Rattus norvegicus: one gene and its partner. The protein of the gene in region 1 purifies or fractionates together with the protein of each later gene. This does not show direct contact. Links are inferred from orthologs where the notes say so. Each region holds a gene or a part of one and is shown in the gene's direction. Other genes may lie near its edges.

Region 1 (9,885 bases):
TGAGTTTCCATGAAGAGCAGGAGGTATTACCAGAAACTTTCCTTGCCAACTTCCCTTCTCTGATAAAAATGGATATTCATAAAAAGGTCACTGACCCAAGTGTTGCCAAAAGCATGATGGCTTGCCTCCTGTCTTCACTAAAGGCCAATGGTGAGCACAAGTTGTGGGGCTGTAGTCTGTCAGCAAGACTTTATTATTTTTATACTTATTTGTGGGCATGTACATGCATGGGCGTGTATTCATTGAGGACATGGGGGAGCCGATTCCTTTACATGTGGGTCCTGGGGCTCAGACTCAGGTTGGCAGACTTATATTAGTAGCTAGCTGGTCCTTTTACTCACTGAACCAACTCACCAGCCCTATTATCTTTTAAAGCGTTTAATTTAGTTTTGGCCTTTTGCAACAAGGTCTTGTATGTGTTCACTCAATCTGGCTTAGAATCCCACAGTTTTCTGTTAGCGCCTCCTGAGTGCTAAGATTACCTGTGCGACCATGTCTGGCCTTAGCCAGATTGAGATTTATTGAAATTTATGAGTCTAGTCACTCAACGCAATCCCAAAACTCAAGAAACTAAGGCACTAGGGGGCTGGGGATTTAGCTCAGTGGTAGAGCACTTACCTAGGAAGCGCAAGGCCCTGGGTTCGGTCTCCAGCTCCGAAAAAAAGAACCAAAAAAAAAAAAAGAAACTAAGGCACTAGGATGGCTGCGTGTGCCAGGCCAGCTAGTGGTGAGGATGACAGTGGCACTAGATGAGAGAAGAAGGTTCATTGGGTAGGGCCCTTGCTTCACAGAAGTGCAGGTCTGATAACGTGAATTCAATTCCCAGAATCCACATTAACGTGGGAGGTGAGAATGGACTTGACAGAAGTTGTTTTTAACGATTTATTTATTTTATGTATATGAGTATACCGTAGTTGCTGTCTTCAGACAAACCAGAAGAGGATATCTATCAGTTCCGATTTACAGATGGTTGTGAGCCACCATGTGGGTGCTGGGAGTTGATTGAACTCAGGACCTGTGGAAGAGTAATCAGTGCTCTAAACTGCTACCCATCTCTCCAGCCCCAGAAGGCTTTTTGTTTTTTTTGTTTTTGATTTTTTTTTGTTTGTTTGTTTTTGATATATTCATAAATCATATATACTCATGGCCTGAGTTCAGTCTCCAGAAGGAACCAACTCCACAGAGTCAGCATCTGGCCTCCATAATAAGCCTAGGCTCCATGTTTTTCCCATTTACATTGTTGTCCCTGTCCCCGTCCTGTCCCCCACCCCCACCTCATGGGTGTGGGTGTGTTGGGGGTGTGGGATCTCTATTGCCCAGATTACCCTCAAATTCTGGGGCTCAAGCTATCATCTGCCTTGTCTGTCCTCTTAAGTAATTCGGGTCTGCACCTACTGTGTCTGGCTTGTTGCTCGTTTATTTAGAATTACTAAGTGGTGCAAGAGTTCAGTGCATTGACCCTTGAAAAGGGCTGCTCTGCTGTAACATTAACACTAGTTCAGAGCCTCATCAATTGAATGAGAAATGAACACATGAGATAATTTATTCTGTTCAGAAGCCTGTAAATGGTTGAAGATTAAATAAACCTGACGAAAAAACTTTGTGCAGCTTTTGTTGGAGTGTATTATCTATGTGGAGTTTTCAAAAATTCCTTGCTTCACCATTAATACTTTGGGGAAAAATCTATATAGGGCAAGATGATGTTCTAGGCTCTAAGTGCCACAGATAGTATTCCTTGAATATCTTTTCAGGCAGCCTTTAAAAATGTAAGAACACATTTTAAGACTGAACATTGTGTAGTATACATGATCTCAGAATGTGAGAATCTGAGGTAAGATTAAAATGGCTAGTCCAGGATTCATGGTGAGAATCTGACTCTAACAGTTTAGCTCTAAGCTGGTAGGAAAGTGAGTAGTTTGTCAGCCATTTTCAGAGTTAGAGGTCTGGTAATGTAGCTCAGTGGTAAAACACTTACCAAGCATGCACAGAGCACTGTCCACCCAATCCCCAAATTGTTTTTACATTTTTATACCATAGGAGATTGAATCTATGTAGGGCCTCAGTAGGAAGACACACAGAACTGTCTCTCTAGACTTTTTTTTCCTTTTTGTCCTTTTTTCTTTCGGCTTTTTGTTGTTGTTGTTGTTGTTGTTGTTGTTGTTGTTTGTTTTGTTTTTAAAGACAGTTTCTCTCTGTAGCCCTGGGTGTCCTGTAACTCTGTCCCGCCTCTGCCTCCCGGGCAGTGGGTCTAAGGGGGCATGTAGAGCTGGCCTCATCCAGGAAGAGTTTTTTACTCACTGTTGGCTAAGTATTAAGAATTTTAAAGTAGTGCTGGAGAGATGGCTCAGCAGTTATAACTGACTGCTCTTCCAAAGGTCCTGAGTTCAAATCCCACCAACCACATGGTGGCTCACAACCATCTGTAATGGGATCTGCTATGTTTGAAGACAGCTGCAGTGTACTCACACATAACATAAATCTTTAAAACAATTTTTAAAGTCAGGTTTGGTGGCATGTACATTTAGTACCAGTACTGAGGCAGGTGGATTTCTTAAGTCAAAGTCGGCCTGCTATTCTGAGTTCTAAGCCAGCCAGGGCTACAGAGTGAGACCCTATCTAAAAAACAAAAAAATACTTTAAAATATTGTTGGGCTGGGAATATAGTTAGTGCCCTATTACCACAAAGTAAATGAAAGCTGTAATAGGAAATTTAGGGATAGGTAAAACTGTTAATCTATATTAAACATGATTCATATCTGTATGATACACTTACTTATATTTAAAATATTTGTTTTATTTCTAGGCTCCCGGGGGGCTTTCTGTGAAGTAAGACCAGATGATAAAAGGATTCTGGAATTTTACAGCAAGTTAGGCTGTTTTGAAATTGCAAAAATGGAAGGATTTCCAAAGGATGTGGTTATACTTGGTCGAAGCCTGTGACATTGATGGTACTGTGAACTGTCCAAAAGTCTCTTAACTCCACCTTGTGGTTGGTGGTTGAGGTCTTCACACAGTTCAGTGTCTGGAGCGGCAGCAGATCAGCCAGTTGAATTGGAAACAAAGATGACTGTAAAACTCACCCATCCCATTTTCAGCCGCTCGCTGGTTGAGAGAAGACAGTACTGCTGCATGTCCTGTGCAGCTTGTGATGTGCTCCTCTTTGGGTCTCGTGTTAGTGCCAGGGCCTCTTACATGGGGTTCTCTAGGGAGAGGGTCTTAAATAAATGTAGTCAGCACTGTTTTCTGCATCCAGTGTGGTTGCATTTCTCACCTAAGAGCAATGAAGATCAATCACTCTCTATTCTCCTTGGTGTGCAGAGTGAAATGTCTCTGTTCTTTGGAGACATGGCTGGAATGAGAATTTAGTGAGTTTCGATTTGAGGCAATTTTTCTGCTTTTTGTAAAGCTCTGGACAGCTGTCCCCTGTGACTGGTTGGTTCAGATCGTTGTGCTTTGTTAGGGACAAATGTGCATTTGTTTGTGGCAAAGGCCTAAATTGACAAACTTGTAAATCTCTTTGTACATAGACTAGCTGTAACCTGACTGTTCTTTGTTTACTGTTTTATATATTATGTTTTTTTTTCCTTTGAAACTGAAAGGTGTTGTTTTAGGATGGCACTTTGAATAATGTAAACCAGTGAGTGGTAGATTTCCTTTCATTTGTCCTTTTCTTCCTGAGAAGTTTTGTCTTTGAAGTGCCTCCCACATCGGGATAGGCCATGACTATTTGGGGTATGAGCACCTAACTTTAACTCCCATCTGTTGGGAAGTGCGGTTACTTCTGGGAATTCACCTTAATAGCAGATCCGAATGTGAAACATTTTGACATTGTCAAGTAAGGGTCAGGGGACTGACTAGTGGTCTCATTTGCCCTTAGTACACTTGTCATTTAATCGCAAAGACCTGTTAACTACTGGTTTAATTGAATCAGTCTTTAATTCTTGCATGTTTGTATCTAATTTTTAAGAGGAAGAATAAGTATATGTTAACCATGAGTATACTTTTCTTTTACTCAGATTCCGAAAACTTCATGTATTTTAATTTAGATTTGGTGAATTTAAGGGTTTTGAGCATGAAGCTGGCAGAGAGCCTCTGCAGGATTTTTTTTTTTTTTTTTTAAATCATGGCTAGCTAGTAACTAGATTTTCAACAGTATTTTGTTACCTTGCTTTCCTCCAGTTTTACATCAGCTTTTGAACTTTTGAGCTGAGGAGGGAGAGAGAAAAGGAAGCTTGAAACATTTTCTTTTATAGAACTCCAGTGTGAGCTTGTGATATAGTTTTACGTTTAGCACTCTTTATAGTGGACCCAGTGACTTGCACCAGAAGCCCGGGTGTGTGTTGAAATAAGCCACCTCATTAGGGTACAAACCTTTGATAGGATGTATTGGAAAACTTAAAATCAAGTTTGGTTTTGAAGGCTGGGGTGAAGGGCAAAATTGTTACTAGGTGTTAAGACGGTTTAATGTTCCTCTTTCCGAATACATCCCATGCCTTAGTGGGAATTACAACATTTGGAGGATTTCAGAGTTTCATACTGAATCAGGAATTTTAAACAAGTTGCTTTTTGTTTAATGTTGGCTTTCAGTAATCACTTGGGATGATCTTCTGGACATAACTGAAAACCTGCCCAGGTCTGTGCTGTCATCGCTGTAGGCTAAGTGCTATGCCATCTTCCATGGTTATGAATATTTACTGAGGTTGGAATAAGTTCATTGATTGTTTGGATCACAGCTCAGTTCCTATAGTAAAAGAACTGTAAAACTATCTGCACCATGCAAGAGGCACAATAAAACTTGAAGAGAATATGTGTGGTGTGCTGCCTTTTCTCCGGTTTCTCCCATCTTTTTTTCCTCACATCTGATCCCTCAAGTATCCAAACCTATTTCAATGTAGACTGGATTTTAAAGACAGCCCTTCCCTCCTGCCTTCCACAGCAAAGATTTTTCTCAGAAAAGTGCGTTTAAGTAAGTTGCTCTCTTACTACAGTTAAAGTTTATGTGAAGTAGAGGGATGTCTCACTGAGTTTCTCTATGGAATGGCATATGGCTTGACCTTAAATGGAGGAATATTGGAGGGGTCGGGGGATCGCCTAAGTGGAGGCTGTAATAGGAACAGTAGTTGGTTCCCACATCTGAGCTTCCGACTTTCCTGTCAAGCCTCCATCAAGATCAAGAAGCTTATGTAGTGGCTAATTTGGGTGGGAATCCCTGGGAGAAAGTAAAAATGGCTGCTCCGTACCCCAAGTTTACTGGGAAAGGAGATACGAAAAGTTTGCACCGACATCTCCATATTCCCGGGTTGGAAGAAAGGGGTTCAGTGAATGGACGCTGACTTTGAAGTCCGAGTGAAAATTTCTTCTGAGGCCTTGGGGAAGAGGCGACAGCTGCTCTCACGCCAGTGCGGCGTTTCACGTGCCTCGCGCCACGCGGCGCCTTTAATGGGCGGGGCCGGAACTGGCAGAGGTGCGGCGTTCGGTGCGTGGGGGGCGGGGCTCTCACGGCCGTTTCAGCATGGCCGCCGGCGCCGCGGCTGCTTTGGCGTTCTTGAACCAAGAGAGCCGAGCCAGGGCTCGGGGCCTCGGGGGCCTGAGGGTTCCGGCTCCGGTCACAATGGATAGTTTCTTCTTCGGTATTGAACACGGGAATGGAAGAGTGGTACGGGGTGGGTGAGGCGTCGGGCTGAGGAACGCGGCTGGGCGACGTGGGTGTGGGCCGAGGGCGCCTCGCTTTCCCTAACCCTTCGCGGCCTGTACGGGCCGAGAGACGCCGGTCCACGTGTTCTAGGCGAGTAAACGGCCCGTCACTCCCCGGCAGCACACGACCGGGTGGAGGGGACAGCGGAGTTTGTGAAACGCCCCCGCGCTCTGTCCTCTCCACGAGTGCTCCTCTCAGGCGAACGCACTGGCTCTTGCAGGTTGTGAGCTCTCCAGCCACACCCGCTCCTTTACTTTCAAGGTTGAGGAAGAGGATGATACAGAACATGTGCTGGCTTTGAACATGGTAAGGGGGTGCAGAGGGAGTTGGAGATGCGGGGGTCTCGCGGACACTCGCTTATCTCCCCTCTCCCCCACCTTCGGATTGAGAGTCACTTGTGGCTACCCTCAAAGGGCTACGTCTCTGGTCCCCCCATCGGGTACCACTGAGACTAGGCAGCTTTTAGGGCAAGATGCCTTCACCTTGGTGTCCGCCCTCACTTGAGACGCAGGGGTTCTGTATGCCTTTCAGCTGTGCCTTACCGAGGGTGCCAAGGACGAGTGTAATGTGGTGGAAGTTGTGGCCCGCGATCACGACAATCAGGAGATTGCAGTTCCTGTGGCCAACCTCAGGTTGTCTTGCCAGCCCATGGTGAGTTGTAGCCGTCCATTCGTTGGAGTATGTTGGGGATTGAGAACTTCAGTATTAATCTCAAAATGGATGGACCAGAATGAATTAGGCTTTCATCCTTCTTGTCTTCCAGCTCAGTGTAGATGACTTCCAGCTCCAACCACCTGTAACGTTCCGCCTCAAGTCCGGTTCTGGCCCTGTGCGGATCACTGGTCGGCATCAGATCGGTGAGAGGAGTGGGCCCTCTCCTCCCTCACTCTCCACTCCTGACTTTTACCCCAGCCTCATGGTTCAGTTTTATGTGCCTCTCATTGCCTCAGTCAGGCCTGTGAACTTCCTGGACCCCTCCCCAGGTGTCCAGCCCCAGCGGTGTGGGTGGGCTCTTTTGGGTTTTGGGCTCCCCCCCCCCCCCAGTTCAATTACTGAGCTTCTTCCCATGTAGACTTAGGAACTCTGGAAGATGAGGTTCCCTGTCAGCCTAGCAGCACGGGGCACTGAATAAGTGACCTGTGGTGTTTGGCTTTAACCTTCTGTCTTCCTGTGTGTATCCACCAGTTTGTATAAACAACGATCTTTCTGAAGAAAGTCCGGATGAGAGTGAAGATGAAATTAAGCTGTGTGGAATCCTTCCTGCCAAAAAGCATAGGGGCAGGCCTTAGCCCTCTGGTGAGTAGGAGGGGAGGGGGTTCCAGCAGGATCTGGGAAGTTAAGGGAGAGGTGAAGCCGAAGACACTGATTTCTTTCTTGCTTTTCTCAGGTCAGGGAGCTGCTTGCTACAGGTGCCATGTTCCATGTGTCCCTGGACAAGTTCAAGGATGGTTTTCTCGCTGAAGAGGATGGTTTAGGAAGGGGGTGGGTGGGAGGGACTTAGGCTGGTCTGAGAGACCAGTCATTCTCCTTAGGGTCCTGTGGTTCCTGAAGTTTCCCTTTTCTTCTGGAATGGGGATGACCTTTGAACACCTCTTATAACCCACCTACCCAGACTAAAAGTTTTGTAAAGCCCCAGGTTCAATCCCCAGCACTACAAAACAAAACAAAAAAAAACCACCATGAAGTTCAGAGCACATTTTTAACACTTTTTACATTTTTAGATAAATATCTAAATAAAGTGGTGTATGGTTTTTTGCAATCCTTGTGTGGCTTTTTTCAATGCTGAGATGACATTTCCCTAGGGACCACCAGGTGGCACTGTGGCAGCACAAAGGTTGGCCTAGTAGGTCTTGTGCTGGTGAAGTGTGGGATCGTATTCCCCAGGGCTTTGGGCCCAAAGCGGGCTTGAGTTCCTCACCCTTGCAGCAGAGGGACCTCCTATTCCAGCCTATCCCATGTTCCTGCAGGTGGGGGAGGGAGGGCCATTGCAGGAGGTTATCAGCTTCCAAACAAGGGGCCTGGGCCTCTGTCAGCACTCAGGTTGATGGGCAGAGGGACAGATAAGTGGGCTTAAGAAACCTGAGGAATGTGCATCCCTAACCCCATGAGGGGCTCAGCCCAAAGAGAGGGCCTGTGAGGGTGGGGACCAGCCTCTGGTCTGGTCTTTTGAGGTAGGTCGAGTAGAGCAGGGGCCTTAGAAACCTGATTCCCAGGGCCAGATGGAGGGAACTGGCCAGATTGGGTGACAGGGAAACCAGAATCCGGGTGGCCTGGCATATGGGGGCAGAAAGGAGCCCATGGGAATCAACCTCCTCTGCTGAGGGGTTACCCCTCCCCTCTGCCCCCAGCGCGCTGTCATACTGCCTTATCCCTAGAATGAAGTGGTTCTTGGGTCTGGCTACTGTTATGCCAGGAAGAGAAACGGGGTTGCTTGTGTGAGGACTATCCACCCTGGGGTCAGCAGTTCAGCAGTGTTGATGGGTTAGGATGGGTGGGGATCAATGCCTTACAAACAAACAAAAGGTTACTTCTCCAGACAAGCTGAAGACTGACAGAGAACAGAGTCCGAGAATCAGGCCAATTCACACCAGCTGACCAACAACTAGGAGGCCTCTCCATAATACAAAGAAGTTGGGTTGAGCTCAGTGTGTTGACTTCAAGAGTGTCCCCTACAATAGAGGAAAGCGGTACCTAACCCAAATGTGGTAGCACCGGAGAGGAGACAATTGGAAACGAGTTCAGCTTGGGCTCCCCCCATGGAGGTTAGGAGGGAAAGGAGGAAGTGGCTCCTCCTGACGGCAAAAGTTTTCCCCCAATCTATGTGATGAGTCAGGGGTAAATTTTCAACCTCCCTTGTTCAAGTGAGAGGTGCCTTTCTGTGTTTCAAGAAGCAGGGTTGCGGGTGCCTTTTCAAGAGTCCAGTACCTTCCAGGTGTTTCCACCACCGGCCCTGGCTAGGGGCCATTAGCAGAGTGCCGACCTGGAGGGGAAGACGAAACTAGCGCCCTCTGGTGGGCGTGTTTAAAACTGCTCGTGATCGTACCGCTGTAGGAGGCAGAATAGGAGGGAACAAAAGTTTTGAATGCATATATGTTTTCATTCACACGGAGCGCCCGCGCTAGAGGAGAAGAGTTAGGTGGAGGCACTCACTTTTCCTACTACCTTTCAGCTCCTGCCCCCAACTCTTTGATACCTGCTTAAGTGCAGCGAAGAGCCACCTCTCCCGGAAGCCTTCCAAACTTACTCGCCTAGCCCACGCTCACACTCCCCCACCATCAGTGTACCCCCTGTGACTCCACTGATCGCCCATTGTATTTCTCGCCTGTTTTCCTGGCGGGTGAACTAGGAGCACAGCCCTGCCCGCAGTGGGAGCCCAATCCACATTTGCCTGCTAGTTCAGGAGTTTCCCCGGCCCCTTGCGGCGCGGTACAGACAGACCTGAGAATTGTTTTTTCCTTCTTTCCAGATCACACCTTTTCGGGATACCCCTTTTCTGCACTCTCAGCACACAACAGGAGTGCTGCCAGTTATCTGGCCTCGGAGAACTTGCGGGATGTAGGCATAAGATGGTGTCTAGAGAATGCTTGAAAGAAGGGGGTTGGGGAACAGACGAGAAGAACCGCAGCTTTCTGTCGCGGTTCGAAGTGGCTGACACAGACGCAGAGATTTGCATTTGAACTATGCTGATAGAGTCTGTGGCACATTGAACGCTGGGCACTGGAGGCGCGCAATATTGTGACCTGCAGGCATGGTGGCCTGGGTGTGGATCTGGGGGTGGGGGGGCTGGGGCCGGGTGAGGGGTGCGTTTGGGTCCGGGCGACTGCATGTTTGCAGAGAGGGCCGTTTGTGTTGGCAAAGAGTGTGTGTTTGTGTTTGTAGGAGGGAGTGTGTGCATGTGTGTGTTTGTGTTTGCAGAGTGTGGGGGCGGCAGGGAAAGGTGGCCAGGCTGTCACTCAGAGATCAGGATGACAGGCGCTCCCTCATCTAGGCGCGGGAGCTCTGATTGCAGATTCGAGGAAACAAAATAGCAATTGTAATTACGGGGCTTTGATAAGATAAAGGAAGGAGGGAGCTGGCCAGGAGGCAGGCTAGCAAGGGAGGGAGGGAGAGCGGCCTGCGGGAGCCCGATGGAACATTTGCATCTGTCAGTCACCGCCTGCTCTGGGTGCCCACTGTGGGGGAGGCATATC
Region 2 (9,458 bases), on another chromosome or scaffold:
ATTGCAGTGTTAAGTAAAGCATATCCATTTTAGCATTTAGTTAAGTACTTGGTATATTATCTATCTTTATTACTAGAAGTTGGAACGTATCATATACTACGTCATTGCCTAGCATATCTTGCACATAGTAGGTGTTCAGAATAGTTGTTCTGTGACTAAGTCACCTTCATGTCTGGTGCTTATAGACTATTGAAACTGAGTTAAGAGTTTGCTTTCTTGTTTTACTAGCCTCACTGCTGTAAATCTGCTCCCTCAACAAATTATAATATTGAGACTTACATTAATGTTGGTCACTTTACAGCATCGAGCACACTTGGCATGTAGTAATCTTCTTGAATTGAGAAATGTGTTGGGTGGGTGAGATTGTTTTGGGGTGGGTCCCCTAGGCCTTAAATGGGAAGCCTTCTGTGGCATATTTCCATACCATGAAGTGCTTTGCTTTCTTTGTGTTCTTGGTGGTCTCTGTAACATTGTTATGTATACACATACTAATTTGAGCTGTCCTTCCTCCTTCAGGTAGAACAGTGCTTAAAACGATTGAAACACATGAATTTGGAGGGCTCCATTGAAGACCTGTCACAGTTGTTGTCCGCCAAGTAGGTGGTCCATTGCTCTGTCTGAGCACTCTTTGGTATTCTCTGGCATGTTGTGTTTTAGTGAGGGGAACCTGTGGACTGATGGGCGGTACTGGTGGGACACTGAATTGGGGCTCACAGTGGGTTGCAGTGAAAGAAGAGTGGAATGCTAGTGGGCGTAACCACCTCAGGCTGAATACCGCTGTAGAAACGATGTGTTTAGAGATTGACAGTCTTGTCCTTTTCTGTGTATGTCAAGTAAAACTCAGCCTGGAGCTACCGAAAACCGTGTGGTGCCCAGCCAGCCGGTGATGGAGGTGGTGCTGATGAAGGTTTTGGGAGGCTGCAAGTTGTTGCTGCGCTTGTTGGACCGCTGCTGCAAGACGTTTCTGTATCCTTGACTATGGGAATGCCTTCTTTTGAGTGGAAGCTATTTGGGTATATTGGGCTTCTGTTCAAATGCTGTGCTCTTAAAGCAGTGTAACCTGTGGGGAATCTTGACGCTTTGCCTTTGGCTCCTCTTCCAGCTATTGCTGGCATGGCTGGTGCCAAGGACTCCATGTCTCTACCTAGCATGTATTCTAAGGACCTTTAGAAATTCTTACTCTCAGACTCTGTCACAATAGGAGCTCTAGTAGAATAGATATTTTTGCTTTTAGTGTAATGTGACTTCATTGCCATGTTAGGGCTTTACTATCTTCAGAGCTTTCTTATAAGTTCTTTCTTTCATAATTGTAACCTACAAATCTTAAATTCCCTTGGTTCTGTTTTCCACCTTAAACTGAATTCTTCAGGTTGACTGTGAAGCACTTAGGGCTACGCGAGTTCATTATTTTGAACCTTGTGATGGTTGGGCTGGTGAGCAGGTTATGGTACGTTCACATTTCTGCATTTGTGTTTCATCTTTACCTGACTCAAGTTTCTTGTTAGTGTTCACACAGTCTGTTGCCTTGGGAACTGAAGGTGCAGGCTTCCCTTTCTTCCCACGATGGTTGGTTTTCACATTGTCGGCTGGGTAGTTATATCAGAGGGCTTTTCTTCTGAAACCTTCACCTTGAGACCGAGTAGCTCAGAAAGTGATTTCCTAGGACCTAGGACCTAGGAACTATAATAATATTTGATAATGATATAATAATAATAATAATAATAATAATAATAATAATTATTATTATTATTATAATGGTGGCAGTAGTAATATTGCAGTTGGCTTTTGAAAGAGCAGCTGTTCCTGGACTGACCATATCTTGGTTCTTTAACAACTGGTTGTTAATTTTAATAGAAATTAGAAACACAATTTGACCTTCCTTGTATGCTCTAGGCTTCTCTTCTGCCTGACACTCTGATGCTTTTGAGCCATATTTGGTTGATAGAAATAATACTTGCAAGATTTATAAACTAGAAAAAAAGCATTTCCTTGTGTGTGGTGTGTGTGTTTGTGCATACAGTGGTTTGATGGATAACTAGGCACAGAATTGGATCATTAGTTCTGATTTTAGCAAAACTGTCAAAACAACAGAGACAAACCCACAAGATTCTTCCTACTTTCAAATATAAACCTTGCTTCGATGTCTTAACCCAGATACCTTATTTGAATTTTCAGTCATCTTTTTGTTCTGCTTATTCTTTTTTTTTTTTTTAAGATTTATTCATTTATTATATATAAGTACACTGTAGCTGTCTTCAGACACACCAGAAGAGGGCATCAGATCTCTTTAAGATGGTTGTGAGCCACCATGTGGTTGCTGGGAATTGAACTCATGACCTCTGAAAGAGCAGTCGGGTGCTCTTAACCACTGAGCCATCTCTCCAGCCCCTGCTTATTCTTTTTAATTAATAAATAAGTTAATTTTTTTAACATCCAGACTGAAGTTTGCTCTCTCTCCTCTCCTCCTTCCCACCCTCAATCCCCTATCCACTCTTCAAAAAAGGGCCAGCCTCCATGAATATCAACCAGCCATGGCGTATCAAGTTACAGTAAGACTAGGTACCTCCTCTCCTGTTAAGGCTGGAGCAGGCAACCCAGTAGGAGGAAAGGGTCCCAATAGCAGGCGACAGAGACGGGGACAGTCCCTGCTTCCACTGTTAAGTCTCAAACTCTAACATATGTGCGGAGGCCTAGGTCAGTCCCATGTAGGCTCCTGGTTGTCAGTTCAGTCTCTGAGCCCCTATGAGCCCAGGTTACTTGATTCTGTTTCATGTGGCGGCTTTGACCCCTCTGGCTCCTACCCTTCTTCCTCTATATATCTCTCCATTAGTTTATTCTGCTTATTCTTAATCAGAAGTAATAGCATTTGAATTACGAATATTTTATATATATAAAGAGCTTCTGTTTCTTCTAGGGTTCTCCATAAAGGACTCTTGCGACGGCTGATTTCCTTATATGAGCCATTGCTTGGATTGCATCAGGAGATCTCCAGGATTCAGCCCATGCCTTACTTCAAAGATTTTGCCTTTCCCTCCAACATCACTGACTTTCTAGGCTCCTCTTACCTTGATATCTTTAAGGGAAAAACCCCTGCATCTTTTGCTCCTAAAGGAGTAACTAAGCTGCTAAATAAACTGTTTTTAATGAAAGAGCAACTATCAGAGACCAATGGAGACACCTTGGATAAACTTTCCCAACCATGTGAACAAATGAAAAGCAGCCCACAGAGCAGCGTGGACCTGGGGCAGCCAGTGAAAGCGTGTAAAAGGACCCGAAAAGGTGAGCTGCTTAGACAAGCACAGACTTTTCTTTATTTCCTTTAAACTGCGTTTATCTATTTCTATCTTTTCTTTCTTAAATACATACTTATAAAATACGCCTTTGAAAGCATGATATAGTCGTGCATTGTGTAGAAATTCAGAATCTCACACTGATTACGTTTAGGGAGGTGTGAGTGTTACCAGTTCTCACAGCTCGGCTTCTGGTTCCTTCATGGTGCCCTGCTTTATTCTCTTCATTTCCTTTATAGGAACTTGGCAGGAAATGTCATGTAGTTAAGACGTTGTTGGAGGTTTGAAAGTAACATGGCTGAGTTTTTCTGTCTTTTGTTTTCTAATTCCACAGAAAAGCCATTGGGATTTGACGTGCGGGCTTTCTGCACAAGACTCCGAAACAAAGCTACTCAGGTCTGTCTGGTTAACCTCATAGCTTTTCACTTCTGCCAGGTTTAGAGGAAGCTCCTCAGTGGGGAGGGAGGTAGAGTCTGCTCTAATAAGCTTGATTGCACTCAGTTCTTGGTCTGTGCTGCTTAATGAAGAAGTTCGCTTTGTTGTTATTGCTGTATTTTATTTCTTCTTTCCTGCCATTGCTTCTTTTTTTTTAAATTTTACACTCCAGATTTTATTCCCCTCCTGGTTCAGCCCCCCGACTGTTCCACATCCCATACCTCCTCCCCACACCCCTGTCTCCACGAGGATGTCCCCACCCCACCAGATCTCTAAACTCCCAGGGGCCTCCAGTCTCTTGAGGGTTAGGTGCATCTTCCCTGACTGAACCCAGACCCAGGAGTCCTCTGCTGTATGTGTGTTGGGGGCCTCATATCTTCTGGTGTATGCTGCCTGGTTGGTGGTCCAGTCTCTGAGAGATCTCGAGGGTCCAGGTTAATTGAAAGGGCTGGTCCTCCTATAGGGTTGCCCTCCTCCTCAAGAAGCTGGCTTTTCAATGGTCCTAGTTAGTCCAGTTAGTGGGGTGTATTCAGAAGTGCTTTACTAGGCATGCCTTTGGGATCTCCAAGCAGTCTTATGGCCTGCCCTAAATACGGATGGTGAGCACTTTAAAAGCATGGGCTTTGTACTTGCTGGAACGCTCGCCCCACTCCGTATTAGCTGTGTGGTCCCTGACCTCTCTATACTTCCCTTCTCCACTCCATGCATCTCTCAGTCTGGGCTAGTACGTGTGTTAGGTGGGTCTCGTGTGTGGTAAGCATTCAACTGATGCCAGATGTTAGTGGCAGTCATTGGTCTTGTCTCCCTCCTCATTTGTCATGAGGCATCAATCCTTTTGGGAGTTCAAGCTTTACACGATACCTTATATTAGCGTCAGAAAATGGTTCTGGACTTCATGACTAAGTACATCAGTGTCACCTGTCACCCAGTAACCGCTTGACTTTTGTTACCATTGTCTGGTTTCCTTTTATTTACAAACTCTTACTTCTAAGAACCCGCAGTTCTTTATTGAACTTTTAAACACAGATGGCAGTTCGCATTTTTATCTTGCTCAACTCATAAATTCAGAAGGAGGAAAAAATTCTTTAGCAGATCCTTTAAGCCCCTGACGATATCTTAAATGCTTTAGCATTAACCACTAATCCTCAGAAAAACTCTGTAAGAGAAACTCTTGACTTACTGCTTTCATATTTCAAGAGGGGAAACTGAGGCAGAATTTGAAAAAAAAAACTTTAAAAGGGCTGGGGATAAAGGCCACTCGCCAAGTATTTACAAGGGCCTAAGTTCAGTCTTCAGTAAAGAAAATAAAGTAAAAAATAAAAATGACCTCCCTGATAAACAAAGAAGAAAACAAGGGAGGATATCATTGTGGAAGACTTGGGATTTCCCCCATCATTAGACTTTGACAAACCGTTTAATCGGTTTTAGTGTGTGGGTAGATGTGTTACATATGTGTGTATCTATCTTGGGTTTTCTGTGTACACTTCACTAAAGGGCAGATAGGACTTGCCTCGGTAGAAGGGTAAAAAGGGAAGTGTTAGGAGAATGGATAAAAGAAAAGGTTGATGGATTATAAGTGTCCTTAAAAATTATTTTAACTTTTTAATGGCCCAGCTTTTCAAAACTGTTTTCCTTTATTTAAAAGTCACTACTACTGTTTTCAATATCTTTTTTCTCTTCTTTTTACACTTCAGGAGACCAGCCAACAGTTTAAATATTCCCAATCCAAACCGAAGACAACCAAACTTTCCTCTCAGAAATTGAGAACTCACTGGGCTAATGATACTGTGCAAAGAATCCGAATGACCAAGACATTCACCCAACTTTCTGAAGAAATCCAAATGGCAATTGCGTGGTCCCGGAGCAAAAAGCTCAAGGCTCAGGCCATCTATCTGGGCAACAAACTTCTTAAGACTAATAGGCTTAGACATGTGGAATCTCAAGGTTACAGGTAATTACATTAGAAAAATTCCTTTCCCATTTCAGTGAGGAAGTGTACGCATGTGCATTACCTACCTTGTTTAAAATCTCCCAGCTCTTGAGGTGCTAGAACAAGACAAGTACAGTTTCATGTGTTGCTAACGTTATCTGGGCAGTTGTGTCAGGAGAAAGTGACAGTTGTTTGGAATCCTTACACCATGTCATTCCCACTGGCTCATTTCAGAAAGCCTTAGATTACCTCTGGTGTTCAAAACCTGGTGCTGACAGCATGGGGCAGCCTTAGTCCTCAGGAGCTCTGTTCTTGTGGGCGGTGGCCTTCTGTAGATACGGCAGCAGCACAGCCGGCTGAGGATGTGAGGGAAGTGTGTCTGCCTGTGAGGCCCACACAGGCTGCAGGAACAGTCGCTTAGCCCCTCACATTGAGAGATTCAGTTTATTGTGGGTCTTACAAAGATAGAACAGTTTAGGGTTGTGAGGAAACAGATCATGATGATGAACAGTTAGCAAGAGGGGTAACAAACAGGTCTGTTGATTAAGTGGTAGTCTCTACTTCCCAAAATATGTTGACTATATTGCCCTATTGCTGTTTCAGTAATACATCTTTTTTCCTATGGAACACTTTGTAAAACATTAGAGTTCACAGTATTCTGGAAGGTGGGCAGCATTGTTCCATTCATACATGGAGAGATGGTTTTCAGTATTCTGGAAGGTGGGCAGCATTGTTCCATTCATACATGGAGAGATGGTTTTCAGTATTCTGGAAGGTGGGCAGCATTGTTCCCATTCATACATGGAGACATGGTTTTGTTCAAGCTGTTGGCCCTGGAGAGCTAGGACTTATTTCAGGTCCTCCCATTATTATTTTTGTTTCAACTCAGAGATGCACCCACATTTTACTCAATGCAAAGTCAGTGCTTCTAGTCATGGCTGGGAAATCGGGGTCCTAAATTGCTTATTAATATATATTAATATATAATTTTATTTCTTTAAAGTAAGAGCAGAGGGACTTGGCTTAGGCACATAGACCTATATTAATCTTTACCAACAGTTATGAGGTGCGAGGCAAATGCCAAACGTATGAGGTAAGTTCTGACTGCAGGGGATACAGAACAACTCCCAGGACACCTCACAGGGGTCAGTTTGTCTTTGCTAGATGACCCCTCGTTATTTTCATTCCTTCCCCCTGTTCGTTTCCTGCTACAACATGAGCTTAGCCAGAAGTGGATTCTGACACACCACAGAGCTTTTAATTTGTGATATTTTGCCATTTCCACTCTTGTTTACCTAGAAACAGATTATCAGCACGAGGGAAAGGCTATGGCTCTTAAGTGTGAACAAGGTCACACCAGATGTGTCCTTGCTAGGCAGTCATGAGAGTTACTTTAGGGCAAAATGGAGGCACATCTGCCTGTATCCTGAATCAGAGAGGGAATCTGAAAAAATGCTCTTAGGTTGAAACTCCCATTTCCTTACATATATACAGGCCTAGGACTTGTAATAAATTGTGTACTCTTCTGTTGACAGTTGGTGGAGACAGTTAAAAGTGCTTGAGAACTTTTTAGTATCATAATAAGTTGAGATTTCTCTCTTTTGTTCTTTAGTTTGCCGAAGAAGCTTCAGTGCATGAAAACATCTCTTTGCAAGGGCCTTCTCCGAGGCTTCAGTGTCAGCACTTCAAAGCACCCTCCCAGACAAAGAAGATCAAAGTATAAAGTTTTATCAAGACAAAGGAAACCACAGAGAAAGTTACAGTCAACTCTTATAAAGGAAACCCAGCAGGTCCCTGAAGGGACTCTGAAAACCACTAGGGACAGCAGTGCTAAGAAGAGATGCTCTGGTGGGACAGTTCAGAGGTCAGATGTCTGTCTGAATGGAGAGCAGGTCTTGAGCAAACTTGCAAAGCCTGACCTAAAAGCTAAGAAGATGGGGGTCCATGGGAATCTGAGAGGGGGCGGTGGAAGTGAAACCGGCCTGCGGACGAAGAGACAGGTGCACATGCACAGTGCGCCAGGCACCGCTCAAGAGGCAGATGACATTGATGATATTTTTGCTTTGATGGGAGTTTAGATGTACTTAGGTGAAACTTCTGAGCAGTTAACAAGCTGGTCCAGTGTTCTGCTGTTTTAAGGGGTATTGCTAAGATCTGGAAACACTGCTTAGGCTGAGAGCTGCGTCTGTGCAGTATTCCAGTGTGTGCATTCCAATTCAATAAACATTGACAGCAGCGTTGTGTAAGTTAATCAGATGGTGAGTATTTGGCTTTGACTGTGCAAGGTGGTAAATATGATGAATGGCCTGCCCCTGGGGAACGCACCCTTCATGACTGAAACAAGTAGGTTTCTCAATATCAGATGACTTTATGATCTACTATGGCATTAAAATCTGGAATTATTTCACAAAATCTTATGTATCTGAAGGTAAACAGAACAAGGTTGGCATAGCAGAGAAACATCATGTTTTTAAGGTTTTTACATTTTGTGCATGGGTACGTACTTATGTGTGGATATCAGACAGTAACATACATGAATATGGGTATCGGAGGGTAACTTCTGAGAGTTGGTTCTGTTCTTTTACCTCTGGGTCCAAGGGGTGGTGTCCTAGTTAGTGTTTTGCTGCTGTGAACAGACACCATGACCAAGGCAAGTCTTATAAAGGACAACATTTAATTGGGGCTGGCTTACAGGTTCAGAGGTTCAGTCCATTATCATCAAGGTAGAAGCATGGCAGCATCCAGGCAGGCATGGTGCAGGAGGAGCTGAGAGTTCTGTATCTTGTTCCGAAAGCAAACAGAAGACTGGCTTCTAGGCATCTAGGAGGAAGGGCTTAAAGCTCACACCCACAGTGACACATCCACTCCAACAAGACCACACTTAATAATAGTGTCGCTCCTTGGGCCAAGCATATTCAAGCCATCACAGGTGGAATTCAGACTGTCAGGCATAGCATCATGTGTTTACCCATGGGCTGAGCCATCTCACCTGCCCAGGTCATCCTTCTGAATAACATGTGAGTGTATGCTATGTTGTTAAAATGAATTATCAAAAGTTTTTCCATTACTCAAATGGTTAAAACCATTATTTAATCTTCATTTTGTCACTGTTACTCCTAAGGGGGTATATGAGAAGACTTTTGGTGTTTTCCTTTTTATTGTTCCTATGAAGCACAGCAAAAACGTAGCTAAGTAAGTGTTTGCCAGGAATAAGGCCAGTCATGAATTTGTCACCTGCTATCAATGCCATCACCTGATTATTTGTACATAGTGTACAACTGACTGCTCCTGGAAGTGAGTCCTGAATTACAAAGTGAGCTGCTCTACCCATGAGAAAAGGTATTGTAGCCATGGAAAATCTGCTTGGCCCTGCAGGCCAGAAATGGACAGAGGGGTAAGCTTAGGAGAAATCATGAGTCCTCCCCTTGCCCTCTCCTACAGCCTTTGTTTCAAAGGCATGAGGGTGTGAGTGGTAGGTGTGAATCTGGATTTGCACACTCACTTCAACTAGAACACAGCTGCTTTCTGCTATGAAACTTTGACCACACGTATGAGGCTCAAGAAAGCTACAAGGTTGAATATTTCTGATTTTGGGAGTCTTGGACTTGGGTTGTTCCACTATTAAAGTCTGCAAACAGCCACTTCCAGTTCCCAGTTTCTCAGATAAGGGCTGAAATGAGCATTAGGTGTTCCAGTTATAAGTGCAGTGTATGAGAATTTGTGTCCTTGCAAATCCTCTCGACACTGCTGTTGACCCCAATTGAGTAGGGCTGGACCTTGCCTTCTGCTCTGGGTCATGTTGT

The links.
Region 2: the proteins of Npm3 (region 1) and Nepro purify together in Homo sapiens (affinity purification with mass spectrometry; 4 studies listed by BioGRID and IntAct, with this or other methods). This does not show direct contact. The link is inferred for Rattus norvegicus from reciprocal best matches to the Homo sapiens genes NPM3 and RMP64.

What each region holds. Positions count from the first base shown.
Region 1 is NC_086019.1:254,542,233-254,552,117, reverse strand, and holds Npm3 (nucleoplasmin-3), read left to right. Parts: upstream 1-5,468; 5' UTR 5,469-5,512; coding exon 5,513-5,630; intron 5,631-5,915; coding exon 5,916-6,001; intron 6,002-6,226; coding exon 6,227-6,346; intron 6,347-6,458; coding exon 6,459-6,552; intron 6,553-6,880; coding exon 6,881-6,984; 3' UTR 6,985-6,991; intron 6,992-7,082; 3' UTR 7,083-7,454; downstream 7,455-9,885. Other genes in the region: Oga (protein O-GlcNAcase), read left to right, coding at 1-317. UniProt on the Homo sapiens protein: Plays a role in the regulation of diverse cellular processes such as ribosome biogenesis, chromatin remodeling or protein chaperoning. Modulates the histone chaperone function and the RNA-binding activity of nucleolar phosphoprotein B23/NPM.
Region 2 is NC_086029.1:69,462,711-69,472,168, reverse strand, and holds the end of Nepro (nucleolus and neural progenitor protein), read left to right. Parts: intron 1-516; coding exon 517-596; intron 597-834; coding exon 835-966; intron 967-1,369; coding exon 1,370-1,447; intron 1,448-2,914; coding exon 2,915-3,279; intron 3,280-3,624; coding exon 3,625-3,686; intron 3,687-5,419; coding exon 5,420-5,676; intron 5,677-7,267; coding exon 7,268-7,733; 3' UTR 7,734-7,906; downstream 7,907-9,458. UniProt on the Homo sapiens protein: May play a role in cortex development as part of the Notch signaling pathway. Downstream of Notch may repress the expression of proneural genes and inhibit neuronal differentiation thereby maintaining neural progenitors.